4 linked regions of the Arabidopsis thaliana genome follow. The protein of the gene in region 2 interacts with the protein of the main gene of each other region in a pairwise test. Each region holds a gene or a part of one and is shown on either strand. Other genes may lie near its edges.

The links.
Region 1: the proteins of IDD2 (region 2) and TCP4 interact in binary tests that used the Arabidopsis thaliana proteins (3 or more experiments, as listed by UniProt).
Region 3: the proteins of IDD2 (region 2) and AT3G49950 interact in binary tests that used the Arabidopsis thaliana proteins (3 or more experiments, as listed by UniProt).
Region 4: the proteins of IDD2 (region 2) and TCP14 interact in binary tests that used the Arabidopsis thaliana proteins (3 or more experiments, as listed by UniProt).

The regions. Positions count from the first base shown.
Region 1 is NC_003074.8:5,060,123-5,064,677, forward strand, and holds TCP4 (TCP family transcription factor 4), read left to right. Parts: upstream 1-1,558; 5' UTR 1,559-2,185; coding exon 2,186-3,448; 3' UTR 3,449-3,476; intron 3,477-3,558; 3' UTR 3,559-4,030; downstream 4,031-4,555. UniProt on the Arabidopsis thaliana protein: Transcription factor playing a pivotal role in the control of morphogenesis of shoot organs by negatively regulating the expression of boundary-specific genes such as CUC genes, probably through the induction of miRNA (e.g. miR164).
Region 2 is NC_003074.8:18,838,852-18,843,605, forward strand, and holds IDD2 (indeterminate(ID)-domain 2), read left to right. Parts: upstream 1-1,559; 5' UTR 1,560-2,093; coding exon 2,094-2,223; intron 2,224-2,300; coding exon 2,301-2,697; intron 2,698-2,780; coding exon 2,781-2,980; intron 2,981-3,346; coding exon 3,347-3,978; 3' UTR 3,979-4,202; downstream 4,203-4,754. UniProt on the Arabidopsis thaliana protein: Transcription factor that acts as a positive regulator of gibberellin (GA) action, homeostasis and signaling. GA converts the GAF1 complex from transcriptional activator to repressor via the degradation of DELLA proteins.
Region 3 is NC_003074.8:18,520,674-18,524,454, forward strand, and holds AT3G49950 (GRAS family transcription factor), read left to right. Parts: upstream 1-1,792; 5' UTR 1,793-1,896; coding exon 1,897-3,129; 3' UTR 3,130-3,261; downstream 3,262-3,781. Other genes in the region: AT3G49960 (Peroxidase superfamily protein), read right to left, coding at 3,640-3,781. UniProt on the Arabidopsis thaliana protein: Probable transcription factor involved in plant development.
Region 4 is NC_003074.8:17,556,909-17,561,765, reverse strand, and holds TCP14 (TEOSINTE BRANCHED, cycloidea and PCF (TCP) 14), read right to left. Parts: upstream 2,974-4,857; 5' UTR 2,763-2,973; coding exon 1,293-2,762; 3' UTR 507-1,292; downstream 1-506. UniProt on the Arabidopsis thaliana protein: Transcription factor involved the regulation of plant development. Binds to the Up1 elements (5'-GGCCCAWW-3') in early light-induced proteins (ELIPs, e.g.

The sequences.
Region 1 (4,555 bases), about 14 Mb from region 2:
TTATTGTGTTCGTATTAGGTTTGTTAATTGACCCTTTTCTATCATGCTAATATGTCACTTTCTGATTTATTATTACATTAAAGTAGGTGGTCTAATAGTAATTATTTATATGAATAGTTTTAAACTATCAAATAATGCTGTATACTATATATATTTTTCCAACTAAAAAATTATATAGTTATGATCCTTTGCGTCAAGTTTTTATTATTGCTTTGAAGAAAAAACATATTCAACTACTTGAAAATTACGTTAGCTTACCGTACGTGTGTTCAAATTTAATATGCTACAAAATTGTGTGAACAATATAATAGGTTTGTTGTATTTATTCGTTTTTCACCAATCTGGAGATATTTTGTGGTACAAGTATTATAACCACAATATATTCCATACATGAATTAGTTGTGAGAGTTATAGTCAAATTGGTTGGGATTCAAGAAGCATTATACTATTATTATAGAGTCCCACCAATTATTTTTGAACTCGTAAAATTCTCAAGATCTTAGAAATGTCTCCGTTGAAGCTTAGATTGTCTTTTACTCACCTTTATTAGTTTATTTATACGTCGTATTCTTCAATTTCAAAATACCTTTCATATATGAATTTGGGTGATATGCACACGAACACGATACGGTGAAATCAATTAGTTCCACAAGTCAAAATAGCTAGAAAAGAAGTATTGGATTTTAGAACAAAGAATAACGAGAGTCTTATTGTGTTTGTTACTAGTTTATAGAATCTAAAACAGGATTGCAAAAAACAAAAACATCAAAAACGAAGATGAGAGATGAAAAAAGAAAATCTTAGATTATAAAGAGCCCTAATTGTATTGCTAACTAATATTATATTCTTCTTTTAACGAGTTCGATTTTTCGAATAAAATCTACTTTAGTTAACTATTGAGATTCTTACAACAAAAAGGTAAAAAGAAGTGGAGCATCAACAAGCTTTATGTATTTGCATTGAACTAGCATGGGTCAACCCTTAAAAGAAACCGAGAAGCACAAAAGGTTGAATTGAACCTTGACCCATCTAACACCATAGGTTTTTAGGGTATTTATTCATTTATTGAATTCGGAAACTCGAAAAATAAAGTAGCTAGTTCATTCCAGTGATTTCAACTTTTTAAGTATATAATCCCCATGATTATGTATGTATGTGGACATGTCCACGAAAAGAGTGCCCATTTTCATATCAAGGAAGTTAGTAACTCTGACCAAAAGTAGATGTTTTAACACATCTTAGTATTTTTATATCACACTAAATTAAAGTAGTCTGTTTAATGTATTCTCTTAGAAAATAACATAATGATTTGCATGCACATAACAAATCCTATACTATTATTTTGGTAAACAAATTTGGTTTTGGAAACATCTAACTCTAAAAACCATCATTATTATTATTATTATTTTTTTTCTAATATTTTGGCATCCTACAATTTAGTTTATGATTGTGTTGATTATTATTTGGTTGTATTTGCATCTACACATTAAGTTAAACATTGATTTTAAAAATTAACATGAACAAAATGAATACTTACTGTTAAAACCTTATAACAATCAGATTTTTTTTTTAAACAAAGAATGGAAAAAAATGAATAAATTTGGGAAACGAGGAAGCTTTGGTTACCCAAAAAAGAAAGAAAGAAAAAATAAAAGTATTGAATGTGGAGATGAGAGGAAAAAAACACTTACTGTCATCTTACCCAGTTGCGTCATCATCAAACCCACAACACTCTCTTCCTCTTCCCTCTTCCTTCTGCTTATTTTACTTTTTCTCTTTAACCATTTTCCCGAGAGAGAAAAATAAAAAGAAAAGCTTTCTCTGGGTTTTTCTTGATTGGTCAATTACACATCTCCCTTTCTCTCTTCTCTCTCTCACCTTCGCTTGCTTTGCTTGCTTCATCTCTTTGGTCTCCTTCTTGCGTTTTCTATTTACTACACAGACCAAACAATAGAGAGAGACTTTAAGCTATAGAAAAAAAGAGAGAGATTCTCTCAAATATGGGTTAGTCCACAATTTTCACTAAACCTCTTCTTCTTAGGATTGTTTTTAGGGTTAGGGTTTTGAGGTGAGGAGAGCAAGTATGCGGGAGTTTCATCCTTTTTGAGTTACTCTGGATTCCTCACCCTCTAACGACGACCACCGTCGCCGCCGCCGCCGCCGTCTCGACGAATATGCTCTACCAATGTCTGACGACCAATTCCATCACCCGCCGCCTCCTTCTTCAATGAGGCACCGTTCTACGTCGGATGCGGCGGACGGCGGCTGCGGCGAGATTGTTGAGGTGCAAGGTGGTCACATTGTTCGGTCTACCGGAAGAAAAGACCGCCACAGCAAAGTCTGCACGGCTAAAGGGCCACGTGACCGGCGCGTGAGACTCTCTGCTCACACGGCGATTCAGTTTTACGATGTTCAAGACAGGCTTGGTTTCGACCGACCTAGCAAAGCCGTTGATTGGCTTATCAAAAAGGCTAAGACTTCCATTGACGAGCTCGCTGAGCTTCCTCCCTGGAATCCCGCCGATGCAATTCGCCTAGCCGCTGCTAACGCTAAACCCAGAAGAACCACCGCCAAAACCCAAATCTCTCCGTCTCCGCCACCGCCGCAACAGCAACAACAACAACAACAGCTTCAGTTCGGTGTTGGCTTCAACGGAGGAGGAGCAGAGCATCCGAGTAACAACGAGTCGAGTTTTCTCCCGCCGTCAATGGATTCAGATTCGATAGCTGACACTATAAAGTCGTTTTTTCCGGTGATTGGCTCTTCAACGGAGGCTCCTTCGAATCATAACCTTATGCACAACTATCATCATCAGCATCCGCCGGATTTGCTTTCTCGAACTAATAGCCAAAACCAAGATCTCCGTCTCTCGCTGCAATCGTTCCCGGATGGTCCACCGTCGCTTCTGCACCACCAACATCACCACCACACCTCTGCTTCCGCCTCCGAGCCTACTCTGTTCTACGGACAGAGCAATCCGTTAGGGTTTGACACATCGAGTTGGGAGCAGCAGTCGTCGGAATTCGGAAGGATTCAGAGACTAGTGGCTTGGAACAGCGGCGGTGGCGGCGGAGCAACCGATACAGGAAACGGAGGAGGGTTTCTGTTCGCTCCTCCTACTCCTTCAACGACGTCGTTTCAGCCAGTTCTTGGCCAAAGCCAACAGCTTTATTCTCAGAGGGGTCCCCTTCAGTCCAGTTACAGTCCCATGATCCGTGCTTGGTTTGATCCTCACCATCATCACCAATCCATCTCCACCGACGATCTCAACCACCACCATCACCTTCCTCCACCGGTTCACCAATCAGCAATCCCCGGAATCGGATTCGCCTCAGGTGAATTCTCTTCGGGTTTTCGCATACCAGCACGGTTTCAGGGCCAAGAAGAGGAGCAGCACGACGGTCTCACTCACAAGCCGTCCTCTGCTTCCTCTATTTCTCGCCATTGACAATCGAAACTAATCCTCTAAGTTTCAGGTTTATCTCAAGTTCTGTCCTTTTACATCAAATTCACTACTTTTGTACTTCTTTGGTCATTGAACTTTAAACCATTTTGCAGGGCTTGTCTAGCTTCCATGCACATTGAAGCTTGACTTAGATTGTCCGGAACAGGGAAGGTGTTCTCGGTTTGTGTAGTCAATGGCCTGAATCTAGAAAACGCAAGGAAATGAAGAAAGAACAACAGTTTCAGGTTCTTCTTCTTCTTCTTCCAATATCTTAACCTTGCCGATTGTAATTTTTCATATTTTCACCAGTTAGACCAACGTTCTTCTGTAGCTCAATTATGGTTAGATTCCAAGGTTTCGTCTTGTTGTGTTATGTTTGTAACTTTGTATCATCATCATCCTATTGTTACTGCTCCCTGTTCTTATTGTGTAACTCCGTGGATGTTCTAATAAAGTCTGAAACTTTCTCTTTGGGTTTTACTTTTACTGCTCTGTTCAGGCTAGATCCTTGTTATTTAAACAACATGAGATTCCTATTTCTCACGTAATCTTTTGGTCCCAAGAGATATAAGTTGGTCATTTTCCATGAACAGTAAGTTTTGAATTGTTTCTTCTTCTGGAACATCAGGGGGATTTAGCCAGTTCCCTTAAATTACAAGTGAAACTTAGCTCACTAAGAGTAAAAATATGATTATTGTTTTCTATGTCTGATGTCAATAATTGTTCTCTCTCACCTACTTTAGTGGTAGGAGGAGATCCACCAAACTTGAATGTGATGTTGTCTTTGATGAGTAAAAGAATGGGGACATGAGATAGGTAAAGAGAGCCACCCATGTTGGTCTAAATGAAGGAAGTTGATCAAAACTAGTCTATCTTCTCTATCATCATCATCTTTTGATAATAATATTGGATTTTTGCAAAGTTTAGTCAAAAACACTTGGGGTCTAAATGCATGTGTATTATAAGAATATTTAACTTTACCTTTTAATAGAAAAGCAGCAACACCTTTTCATGTGATGTAATCAAAACACACCAGATGGATGAGTTGAGATATCATAAAGTACGTTTACATCAAAAGATAGAAAAGAAGAATCTTCAATTTAAAGGTCT
Region 2 (4,754 bases):
AAAATAAAAAGATCATGATTTGATAATTGATACTACACTTAAAGTAATTATAGTTTTTTTTATTTTTTTTTATTTTCACATTTCCAAACATATGTGATCGAATACGAATGGCGATGTTTAAGATGCTAAATCAACAAGATCCTTACACAAAATCGAAGCAATTTTTGAGGAGTATGTAAACAGTGACCGACTTGAATACCTTCAGTGCCACGTTTTTCCTCACTTGGACAAACTTGTTCTTCATTTTTATTTGTTTGGACCAAGATAACTCGTTATTCATTACGAGGGCTTTCCACGGAAGAAAATGCACTACCTACAAAAGAAATGGAATAATATAAACTTGAATGGGCCCTGCTTGGGATATCAAGACTTCGGCCCAGCAATGTCCGTGCATGCAAATATTTTGTTAATCACTTTTTAAAGTAGCATTTGGATTATCGCTTAGTATATTTGCATTCCCATCTATTACTAATACTACAATACTAGGAGCAAAAGTTATTAGTTCTTTAATTTGATTGCTAGATAGTGCTGGAAACTTTATTTCAGGAAATGGAATTTCTAGGCTGGCTAAATAGTGTTCTGGATTCTTGAGGGACCCTGTTACGCCTAAAAATAATGTTGTTTTTTTGAAGGTCATCAAAATAAACATTTTATAAGACAGTAAAAAAAGAAATAAGACAATTATATTTATGTAGTCAAACGCTTGTTTTTGCTGGATATATAATTACATAAAAGTTGCATTTATCCTTTAATCAATTGCCAAAAAGCAAGAAATAATATCAATCCAATCTTATAAACAACTATATTATGAAAAAGATGATAATTATTGTACGCAAGATGTTATACGACACACGTAATTTGTAGATACACAAAAAGGTCAAGGTCAACAAATAACACGATCAATTGCATTAAATGTGTACTAGCATGGTTATCAGAAATTTTTATTGATACCATGGAATCGATAGACGACAAAACCAACCGTAATTTCAAAATTTCCGTAATTGTTTCTCTTCTCTTTTCTTGTTTTATCGACGATTATGGAAATTTTTTTTTTTTAACGGAGATGTTTGGTCCGACAACGTGACGGTAAATCCTCCACTGTCTTCGCTTAAAGACAAACGACAATTAATCTTTTTAACTCCTCGTTTCACTTGCAAAGTTATTTCATCATTTTAGTAGTTTACTCTCATTCTACTAAATTTGTATTTTTATTGTAACATAACGGTCATATCAGTATTTGGTTAGTTGATTATGTGACATGACTATGGATAATAAGACTTGATATGAATTCCCATATATAAGAAATCGTCGATGACATAAAACTACTTTATCTACTAACTTCATAAGGCAAAAATGAGTAGATAATTAGATTATTAGAAAGAGAGAGACAATGAGATTGATATTTTTTATATGGGAGTCCAAAATCAAGATAGATATACTTGAAAACACTCGAACCCCACAAGGATCGACAAAATATTTCTTTTTAAATAGCTCAAAAAAATTATTTAAAAAAATTCAAAATCTTTTTAAAATATCCAAAATGTTGAAAAGTTGTAAATCGATAAAAGAGAAAAATAATAATAATTGTGCCAATAGAGAGAAAGAGAGAGACAGAAGAAGAAAGAAAGGTTCCTTTGTCTCGGAACAACCAAAGAGCCACCACCCAAAAAAAAAAAGGTTCTTAGCTTTTTTTCTTTCTTTCACACGAAATCTCACGAGACGCCTTATTTCTTCTTCTCTGTCTCTTTCCGACGGCGTAACTCTCCGGTGGAATCTCAGCTCTCTTATCAGTAGAAGAAGTTTTGGTCTTTAAATGTAATTTTTTTGGTTTTGCTTTAAATTTCAATCGTTGTTATCAGAAAAAGTAGGTAGCAAAAAAAGAGATTTTTTACGAAAAGCAGATTGACTGGTAGCTGAAACAACGGAGGAGAATTATAGAAACGAGTAAAAAACAAAACCCTAAAGGTTGAAACTTGGTTGACGAAAAAAATGAGCTGATTTTTTTTTCTTCATTTATTTCATTCTTAACTCTTTTTCACATATTTAAGAATCAGTAAGAAACAAAAAAAAACAGAGTGAGACTAAAAAAAAAGATGCCGGTAGATTTAGATAACTCCTCCACAGTTTCCGGTGAAGCAAGTGTTTCAATCTCATCCACCGGAAACCAAAACCCACTTCCAAACTCCACCGGAAAGAAGAAACGTAACCTCCCTGGCATGCCTGGTAAACTTCAAAAATCCAAACTTTATTATAACTCAAAATTTCTCAATTTTTGTTAAAGTTTTGTCCTTTTTATACAGATCCAGAGTCAGAAGTTATAGCTTTATCACCAAAAACATTACTAGCAACAAACAGATTTGTTTGTGAAATCTGTAACAAAGGGTTTCAAAGAGACCAGAATCTTCAACTTCATCGTCGTGGACACAATTTACCATGGAAGCTTCGTCAGAAATCAAACAAAGAAGTGAAGAAAAAAGTCTATGTTTGTCCTGAAGTTAGTTGTGTTCATCACGACCCTTCACGTGCTTTAGGAGATCTAACTGGAATCAAGAAACACTTTTGTCGGAAACATGGTGAGAAGAAGTGGAAATGTGATAAATGTTCTAAGAAATACGCTGTTCAATCTGATTGGAAAGCTCATTCCAAGATTTGTGGTACTAAAGAGTATAAATGTGATTGTGGTACTCTGTTTTCTAGGTAAAGTGTTTGCCTTTTTTGATCATACATAAGAAAAAATTCAAAATTCAACAATCTAAGTTTTGAGTGATTTTTGTTTGCAGGAGGGATAGTTTTATAACGCATAGAGCTTTTTGTGATGCTTTGGCTGAAGAAAATGCGAGAAGTCATCATAGTCAGAGTAAGAAACAGAATCCTGAAATTTTGACCCGGAAAAACCCGGTACCCAACCCGGTTCCTGCTCCGGTGGATACTGAGTCTGCTAAAATCAAATCCTCCTCGACTTTAACAATTAAGCAATCAGGTAAAGAGTCTCTTGTAGTGTTCTAGATTGGGAATTTTTTGGTGTTTTTGGATTCATTTTTGTCGCTATATTTCTTTGTTTTAAGCTGAAAATGAAGATGGCTAAGGTAATCTCTGTTAATGGTCGGTGGTGTTCTTGGAGTTTAGTTAGATGTTTTGTCCGTAGTGTCGTATTATTTTATCTGTTACTTGATTAAGAACATAATTCGTTTGGTAAGTTTAATAGTTGTTCAATGGCTGATTGGTTCTTTATGATAAACAAATCAAAGATATGATTGATTTGCTTTTTGTTTGTTTACAGTTTATTTTTTCAATTCAAAAAGTATCAAACTTTATGTAAACGACTAATGACTCTTATGATCTACAGAATCTCCAAAAACCCCTCCTGAAATCGTTCAAGAAGCTCCAAAACCGACCAGTTTAAATGTTGTTACAAGCAACGGTGTTTTCGCAGGCTTATTCGAATCTTCCTCGGCTTCTCCAAGTATATACACAACATCGTCTTCTTCGAAGAGTCTTTTCGCGTCATCTTCGTCCATTGAACCTATCTCTTTGGGTCTTTCAACAAGTCATGGATCATCCTTTCTTGGGTCAAACCGGTTCCACGCTCAGCCCGCGATGTCAGCAACCGCTTTACTTCAAAAAGCAGCTCAAATGGGAGCAGCTTCTTCAGGAGGTTCATTGCTTCACGGGTTAGGGATAGTTTCATCCACTTCAACTTCTATAGACGCAATAGTCCCTCATGGACTAGGATTAGGACTGCCTTGTGGTGGCGAAAGCAGCTCGGGTTTAAAAGAGCTTATGATGGGGAATTCATCGGTGTTTGGTCCGAAACAAACGACATTAGACTTCCTCGGTTTAGGTAGAGCGGTTGGTAACGGAAATGGTCCAAGTAACGGACTATCTACTCTAGTCGGAGGAGGAACCGGCATCGATATGGCAACAACATTTGGATCAGGAGAGTTTTCAGGGAAAGACATTAGTAGAAGAAAATCATAAGTAGAGTAAATGAATGTGTTTGAGAGGGTTTTAGATGTTCTTGTTCAATAGGTTAGTGTGAGAATTTGAAAACTTCCCTTTGAAAGAAAGGGTTCACTATTTAATATATATGCAATTAGTTAATTATTCTGATTTACCTAATTTCGATTTCTTAAACGCAAAGAAATCTTTAGTGACGAGTGATGATGATTTACTCTTCTTATCTAATAAATTCCTTCACAAATGCAATAAATGGAATTGTTTTGCTTTCGTTTCCTTAATCGGAATAGGTAAAGAGAGTGAGATTTACTTCTTTATATAGAAACTCTTTCCAAATCTTGAATAATAGGGTCCCATTTGTTTTTTTGTTAAAATTTTCGGTGGAATATTGAAATTTTTTACCTTTCGAATTTGACATTTGATTTGATTAGATATTCGATAGACAAAAAGAAGAAAGAGATTCGGACAATAGATTTTTTTGCTGTGCCAATCGTATCGTAGGACCATTATTGATAATCGATATAGTGACGTGTTATTATCACGACAGGACAACACTAAGCCGTTTACAATCTCCTAATACGACCCATTACGTTAATGAAAATAGGCCATCGTTACTTGGGGGCTTAGGCCATAATTTATAAGCCCATTTATCTCAGTTTAGGCCCAAAGTTTCTCAATATATCTAAATATACTAAATCAGCAGTCACTTTTCCAGTAAGTGATGCATTTAGTGATTGACACATCAGCTTATTACTATTTTTTTATTCTTTCATTTTCACGCAGGATTTTTATGTGTC
Region 3 (3,781 bases), 320 kb from region 2:
AACTGAATAATACTAGAATTTAAAAGAATTTATAAAATGCCTAATTGAATAACACTAGAATCAACATTCTAATAAATTCCGTCAAATTCATTGCTCCAATACCCCCCTCCCCCCCCCCCCCCCCCCAAGTAATTGAAATGGGCTTGAAACCATGGGGCCGGAAATTTTCACTTTGTATTATTTTGATGAAGCCCAATAGACTTTACGGAAAGACCTTAGGTTTCAAGTAGGTTTTTAAGTTTTATGAAACAGAGAAACATATACGTGTTCGTGAAGGAGAAGACGTGAAGGTAACTTGGACTATAAAGTGTATAGTGTTAGCGAAAAGGTGAAGCAGAATAAATAAAGTGTTATGCGTTATCAAGTCTACCTAATATAACTAGCTAGGGATTTCTACTCTTGTTTTCATAATCGATCTACGGACATTTCTCGGAACGTGGTCAAGATTCATGAGTCTTCTGTTTTTTATGTCTCTGTTCAATTTGGTTTAGAGATTAGTATGCTTATTTGTTTATTTCATATATGGTTATGAGAGGAGAGGCTAATGGCATATACTCTGATGTTTGTGATGGCTGCTAATATCGTTGAGGAGTTATTCACGTTGTTTCATGCGCAAAAATCAACAGAAAAAATTCTGATTATGAGCCAACTCTGTGAACCCTTATAGTGCGCCCAGAGGTTTGCGAGGCAAAATCCCGATGAACCAGAAGGAATTTTAGATCTCTATCAACAATAACTATGATGGAGCTCGTTTAAATTCATCACAGCGACAACATCATTAGGCTGCCCAACGTCTATGTCTCCTGGAGGTGATGGTACTTGATCTCTCAACCAATTTTCTTGAAAATATCATGCCTTGTGAGCGCTTTCATATTGCGCCTAAAATACCCAATACGCAATGAACCTACTTCCAAAGGCATAGAAAAAAAACTGATAATGATAATGAGATTTGTCACTATACTTATCCTATCCCTACATAGGAGCCGTTTGATTGTTTAGTCCATGTTTTCATTTTGTTTAGTCTAATGCTATATAACTTTTCTTTATCAGTCTATTGTTATATGACTTATATATATCTCAAGAGATAAGGCCAATAAATCTTCTTCTTAATTATATCTGAAGACTCAAAACATATTTTGAGTTTAATAAAATAAATAACGTCCAAATGCTACATACAAACGGACCAAATTCATGGAGGTATAAATTTAAATTATTTTTTGTTCCAAAGTGTATGCAGTGATTTATTGATGAATGCGATAGAGCGGCGAAAGAGAATAATCGTCACCTAGAAGACAAATTGATCGGCCGTACATATATACATAAATACAAACCTGCCACTTCACATGTCACCCACCTTTAAGCACCCCCTTCACATACATACTTTCTATAACAAAAATATCAGCTTCTAGTTCATATTTATGTTACAATAACTCGAGTGAATCATACTAAAAAAATGTAATGCTTTCTCTAAATAGGAGATAAAATGCACCCTCCGACCTAACTAAAGATTCCTTATTTTAGCTATTTAAGACATATTGCACATGTATAGAGATACATAAACACATATGCAATATGCACATCTTCTATACATTGAAAAAAGCTGATCTTGCAAATATTTGTCTTACACAACACAAGCGACCAAAGCGATGCGTTTCCCAATGATAAGGTTACGACATACTTACACGACTCTCTCTATTGTCTCGTCTCTTTCTTTCCTCATCCCTCTCCTTTGTCTCCTTTCACTCTATTTTTCACTTTTCAGAATACTTTTACGTAAAAATCATGGACATGTCATTGTCTCCACCCTACTATACTCTTTTTTTGTTCTTTTTGTTTCCTCTTGTGTCACAAAAATAACAAGATTAAACGTACATTTCTCTCTAAAACCAGACTCAAATGACCAAAACCCGGATTCTCAACCCGACCCGATTCCCTTCTCCCAAACCCTTACGTGGCTGCGGCGACGCTAACTTCATGGAACAGCTCCTCCTTCACTGCGCCACCGCCATAGACTCCAACGACGCTGCATTAACTCACCAAATCCTCTGGGTCCTCAACAACATCGCTCCACCAGACGGTGACTCCACCCAACGTCTTACATCCGCATTCCTCCGCGCGTTGCTCTCACGCGCCGTCTCCAAAACCCCTACACTATCATCCACCATTAGCTTCCTACCTCAGGCCGATGAACTCCATCGTTTCTCAGTCGTGGAGTTAGCCGCTTTCGTAGACCTCACTCCGTGGCACCGGTTCGGATTCATTGCAGCCAACGCCGCGATCTTAACCGCCGTTGAAGGTTACTCAACGGTTCACATCGTTGACTTAAGTTTGACTCATTGTATGCAAATCCCTACTCTTATAGACGCCATGGCAAGCCGACTCAACAAACCTCCTCCGCTTCTTAAACTCACCGTCGTCTCTTCCTCCGACCACTTCCCACCATTCATCAACATCTCCTACGAAGAACTCGGATCTAAACTAGTCAACTTCGCCACCACACGAAACATTACAATGGAGTTCACAATCGTACCTTCTACTTACTCCGATGGCTTCTCCTCCCTCTTACAACAGTTACGGATTTATCCTTCTTCATTCAACGAAGCTCTCGTCGTTAACTGTCACATGATGCTCCGTTACATCCCTGAAGAACCCCTAACTTCATCATCATCATCGCTCCGAACAGTTTTCTTGAAACAACTCCGATCTTTGAATCCAAGAATCGTAACCCTAATCGAAGAAGACGTAGATCTCACATCGGAGAACTTGGTTAACCGGTTAAAATCGGCGTTTAACTACTTCTGGATTCCGTTCGATACGACGGACACGTTTATGAGTGAGCAGAGACGGTGGTACGAGGCGGAGATAAGTTGGAAGATAGAAAACGTGGTGGCGAAGGAAGGTGCGGAGAGAGTGGAGAGGACGGAGACGAAGAGACGGTGGATAGAGAGAATGAGAGAGGCTGAGTTCGGTGGAGTTAGGGTTAAAGAAGATGCGGTGGCGGATGTGAAGGCGATGCTGGAGGAGCACGCTGTCGGGTGGGGAATGAAGAAGGAAGACGACGACGAGAGTCTCGTGCTGACGTGGAAAGGTCATAGTGTTGTGTTTGCTACCGTTTGGGTTCCCATTTAAATCAGGTTGATTTAATTTAATTAGCGTTTTAATTGGATACCTAATATAGTAGAATAGCATTGCTTTAATTTCTGATCTAATTACAATTTAATAATATTTTTTATTAACTTTTTTTTTTGTTCTAATCTAGTGTCAATTGTTTTGTACTAGTTCAAAACATTCTAACGTTGAAAAATAATCGTTATTATGACTAAACATATTTTACATCTTCATAAGCACTTTTAGTTTACATAGATATTTTTCCGTGAATAGGCTTAGTGATAACAGTGAAAACTTATTATAATAGGAAAAATTGAATAGTATATAGTTATTTAAATTTGTAGCGAGAATAAACATGTTGGAGATACAAAGTAGAGAGGATCAGATACAATTGCCTTCTTAAAATGAAGACATAAACAAAACAAATGAAAAACCAATAATATCTTCTCATCGTCAAAATGAACATTCAAACATTAATAAAACGAAAGGAAAATAGGAGATAAGACAACTTATATTTTCCCATTACCAGCTCTAGTTAAACGCACCACAATCACGACGGATGTTTCCATTGCTGCTATTCTTAACTCCAACACGGCCAAGTTTGGTCATGGCTATCACAAAAGCGCGGTTAAAGGCCGTAGAGTTTGAGGCCCAAGCATTAACGGTGGGCCTA
Region 4 (4,857 bases), 1.3 Mb from region 2:
TATATTATATAGTCTGCATTCACATTTATTTTTATTTGTTTTCTGTCTTCATCCTTTTTGTAAAAACTTATATTTAACCCATGCGAAAACAGATTTTTAAAACTTCAGATTATTTATCTTGATTCTTGAATATATGACCGATCGATGTTGAGTGAATATTTTCTTTCACAACATAATAATAGATTTTATAAAGTAAATTATGTTCTAATTAAACACTATCAATTTACAAATTGTTAATATTACTTTCTAAAGGCATACAAACACAAAAAGAATATACTGAAACAATCAAATATTTTTGGTGTACTTCGTCAAAAAAAAAGAAACAAAATTTTGAGCCATAACTTTGTACGCGACATTCAAACTATATCACTTTCTAATTAATTCTCATAGTCTAAACTAGTCTTGATATAATATTATCATCATATACAAAACCAGTTTTAACAATATCATGATATAATAGTATTAGATATCTCATCATATACAAAATCAGATTGATTGTTTAGTGGGGACAAACGACAAAGAAACAGAGATAAAATGAATCATATACTAAAAAAAGCATTTAATATATTTCATAGCATATAAGATCAAACGAGATATTTTTATGTTTTTTGTATCGTTTTCGTTCGACCATGTAAAACAAACGAGACACTTTGCTGTTTTCTATTAGCTTTGAAACAACTACTTCAAGGGCCAAATATAACAGAGATTGGTGGGCCAATAGAGAGAGGCCCATCTCATTCCTTGATAAAATAGTTTCTCAATTTTTTTTGTATTAACACTTAAAAAAACGTAATGTTACTAAAAAAACAGTAAGATTATACTTTGATGTATATGTTACTATTATTACTATAGGAACCAACATTGTTTGACGAATACTTTTTAGAATTTTTCTTTATGTATAATTAATTTCTTAATGGATAAAGAAAACGAAGATGATTGAGAATCGAGACGACAGTGACACTATCAGAAGAAGAAAAAAAACAATTAAAAACAATAATGATAAAAAAAAGTGTCATATTCTCCTCAAAATCCAAAAAACCTGACATAAAAAATCTCGTGTACTATTTAATCACTCACTCACAAGAAAAATCAAATTTAAAATCAAGTAAAAAAATCAAAATTAAAAAGAAAATCTCACGTGTTTTTTTTTTTTTTTTTACTTAGCAAAAAAAATTACTACAGAAAATAAAAAAAATTAACGGTGAAAACAAAAGTTTTACACAGCCGCCGAACGCCGTCACCGCTACCGCCGTCGGCAGAAAATCCCACCGTTAAAATGTTTTTGTGTGTGTCTAATCTTGCTGATCCTCCTCATCACCACCTCCAAGTGATCCACTAGCTTGAGAGTCGCCGGAAACTTGCCGTCCGTACTGGTTCAAGCCGGAGAGAATATTATGATGATGTTGTTGTTGATGATGATGATGTCTCTGTGTATTATGATGATCACCACCACCGTCACTTCTTCCTCCTTCATTATTATTACTATCTTCATTAATCTCATGATTACTAGTTGTTGCTAGCTGTTGTTGTCCAGTAAGAAATGCCATTGGCGCTGCGAAATTCATAAAATGTAAACCGCTAGAAACCGCGCCGCTTGGAACGCCCGAAACGCCACTTCTATATAACGCTGCCGCTGCCGTGTTAATGGAAGGAAACGTCCAAACAGGCTCTCCACCGCCGCCACCAGTACCAATAGAAGCTGTCATAAGACCACCTGTTTGGTTGTTATTACCACCACCACCACCTGCAGCCGCAGCCGCCGCAACCATCCAGAAATTTCCCGGTATTTGTTGCGCGGCGGCTGCGGTGGCTGTAGATCCACTGTTGCTAGATTGAAGTGTATATCCTCCGATTTGATCATGTTGGTGTTGTTGTTGTTGTTGATGCAAATCCGACGTCGTTTGGATTCTTCTTTTCTTCTCCGAGTTTAACTCTTCAGAATCTTGATCTCCTTCTTGCTTTGTTGGATTATGAAAGTTCAAAAACGACGTCGTTGGTGTGAAGTTATCAATACCAGGAAACAAAGACGACGTAGGTGCACGTCCCTGTAGATGGGGATGATGAAACCCAACACCACCACCACGTTGTTGTTGTTGTTGTTGTTGAAGCATCGCCGGAGAAAATATGTTATTAGGGCTAAAAGTGGAAGCGGCGGAGCGGAAATGAGAAGGAAGAGACATGGAAGAGCCTGAAGAACGGAGAGAGATGTTTAAAGAAGTGAAATTCGCCGGGATTGTTCCGGTTCCGGTGGCGGCGATTACAGATGGTTCAGCTTGTTGAAGAAGCCACTCTATTGTCTCACCGTCGGATTTATGACCTAGCTCTCGCGTTAGCTGAAAAACCCTAGCTGCACATAACGCCGGCATCCTTATTCTCCTCCCTCTTCCGTCTACTTTCGTGTGTCGGTCTTTCGTCGACGCTCGTTTCAACGGTGGCTTTTTAGCTGCCACCACCGCAGATTCCTCTTGCGTTTGTAATAACTCTTTTTGCGTTGTCTGCGGTTGTGACTTTTGCGATTGCGATTGAGGTTGCGATTGAGATAATTGTTGGTGTTGATGGAGAGAAAATAGAGAGGAGGAGGAGGAAGGGGAAGGTTGTTGTTGATGGTTGTCGTCGGGGTCGTGTTTTCCGAGTAGTTGAAAAGGGAAAGTAGGGCGGTGGTGATGGTGGAGGTGACGGTGGTGATCATCTCCTCCTCCTCCTCCGACGCTGTCTCCACCGTCCATTATGACATTTAAGATACTTGATGTTGGCTTTTGCATATATAAGTGGGGAGCTATAACTATTTTATATATATTTTATAAATTAGGGTTTTTGGTTTTTTATTTATATGTGATGTTTTCGACAAGAGGGGAAAAAAAATAAAGTGTATAAGTCTGAAGGAATTGATTGAGAAAGAGAGGATAAGAAAGAGAGAGACAATGGAGAAGAAAAGCTTAAAGAAACAAAGATCATGAGTGAGAATTATATGGGTGAGCTTTACATAACATTAAAAAATTAAAAGAAAAATCTCATTACATATCTTTTTTTTTTCAAATGAAAATACTGTTCATTGCTTCTTTATGAAAATTACTTAAAATCATATACTTAGAGAAATGTCAACAATGGGAATATCATTTAATAGTTGAAGAAAAGAAAGTGTCATTTAATCAACGCAAAAATGAATTGATGTAATTAGCCAATGTGAATATTTCAACGTTAATTTCTGCTCAATCAAAATCAGTCTGTTATAGTTAACTTAATCCGAATTATATCAAATTATTTTTCACGTTAATTATTTTCTCAGATAAGCATTTAGTCAACTTTTTAAAACAGTAAAAAAAAAAAAAGGTTTAAACAAAATAAATCTGTCCATAATCAAAAGATTTCGGTATATCTTTCATTATATTCTTTTCTCGATGTAGATTTACTCATCAATCAAATGAAAAAAAAAACACCCACCGTAAAAAAGGGCTACAATATTCACCGTACAACGAAAATACTTTTCACGACTAGTTAAAAATGGAAAAATCTGAACGTTGCGTTAATAAATGAGATGAAAAAATGTACAATGTGGAGTCTTTAATATATAGTAAATGTAAGAAAAATATGTCATATATGTGAAGGGGATATGGTTGGAGAGAGTCGTTGTGGCAGCAGAGTCCACGTGAGGTGTCCTCTTTTATCATTCATTCCATAAAGACAATGGAGAGGTCGACGAGAGAGTGATGGGGCCAACACTCCTCTCCAAATTAAACAACTCAATTTGGTCAAAAATTTAGTAATTTATTTCAAAACGTTTTGGGTCCTACATCATTCACGTAATCATTCTTCCCCTGCTACTTTTGCCGGAAACTAGAAACATTATCATTGTTATTCACAATTTTAAACCCAAGCATTATTCGTTTTTATTTAATCAGATAGCAAATCTCTATACAAAAAAAGTGAAGAACTATGGTATGTAACACCACTGCCCAAAAGTTGATTTATGTATGTTATCAAATAAATAGGGTTTTTCAAAAAAAAAAGAAAAAACTAAAAGTATGAATAAAATGAGACTTTTAGCATTTTAACCAACCTCTCTGTTTTTCTATTATAAATGTCTATTTTTGTTTTTTCAAAGTAAAAGAACTACTTATTAAGGCTTTGAAATATTGTAAACTAAACTCTATTAATAATACATATGGAAACTATGACTATTTTGATAAAAATAAAAATATATGATCATAGATGTCATATATATAAATATATATATATATGTTAATGAATGTATTTGATGAAGAATTTTTGTAAATAACATATGATATGTGATATGTGTTATTATTCGAAGAAATGATATAGTTTAATATTACGTACACATATTACAAACTGTTTCGACGTATTACATATTTGTTGTTTAAATAAGCACCATAAACGTATATTTAAAATAAAGAAGCAAAAGTTTCAACAACAATTAAGATTATAAAAAGAGCATAAAGAATCGAAAGTATGGTAGAGTAAATGTGGATGATGATGATAGCTTTGGGATTCCCTCTCTTGTTATAAAATATAAAACTTTGATAAATATGCATGATTATATATGATGATGGTACTTGCTTTCGTTTCGTCTATTGGGGTCTTAATTAAATGCTTAATTAGGATTTAATTAAAAATATCTGGCACTATAGCTAGGGCTCAACCTTGAATAATTACTTCTTTTAGTTTAATAACTTAAACCAATTCACTAATCAATTGGTTTTGTACTATAAATTAATTATTGTAGATTGCAGTCTACTCCCACCTAGGACGGAATCAAATGGATTGTTCATATTCATAAATGTAAAATGACAGAAACACAAGTGGTCGGTCTAAATTATAAATATTACTTACCATGAGTCC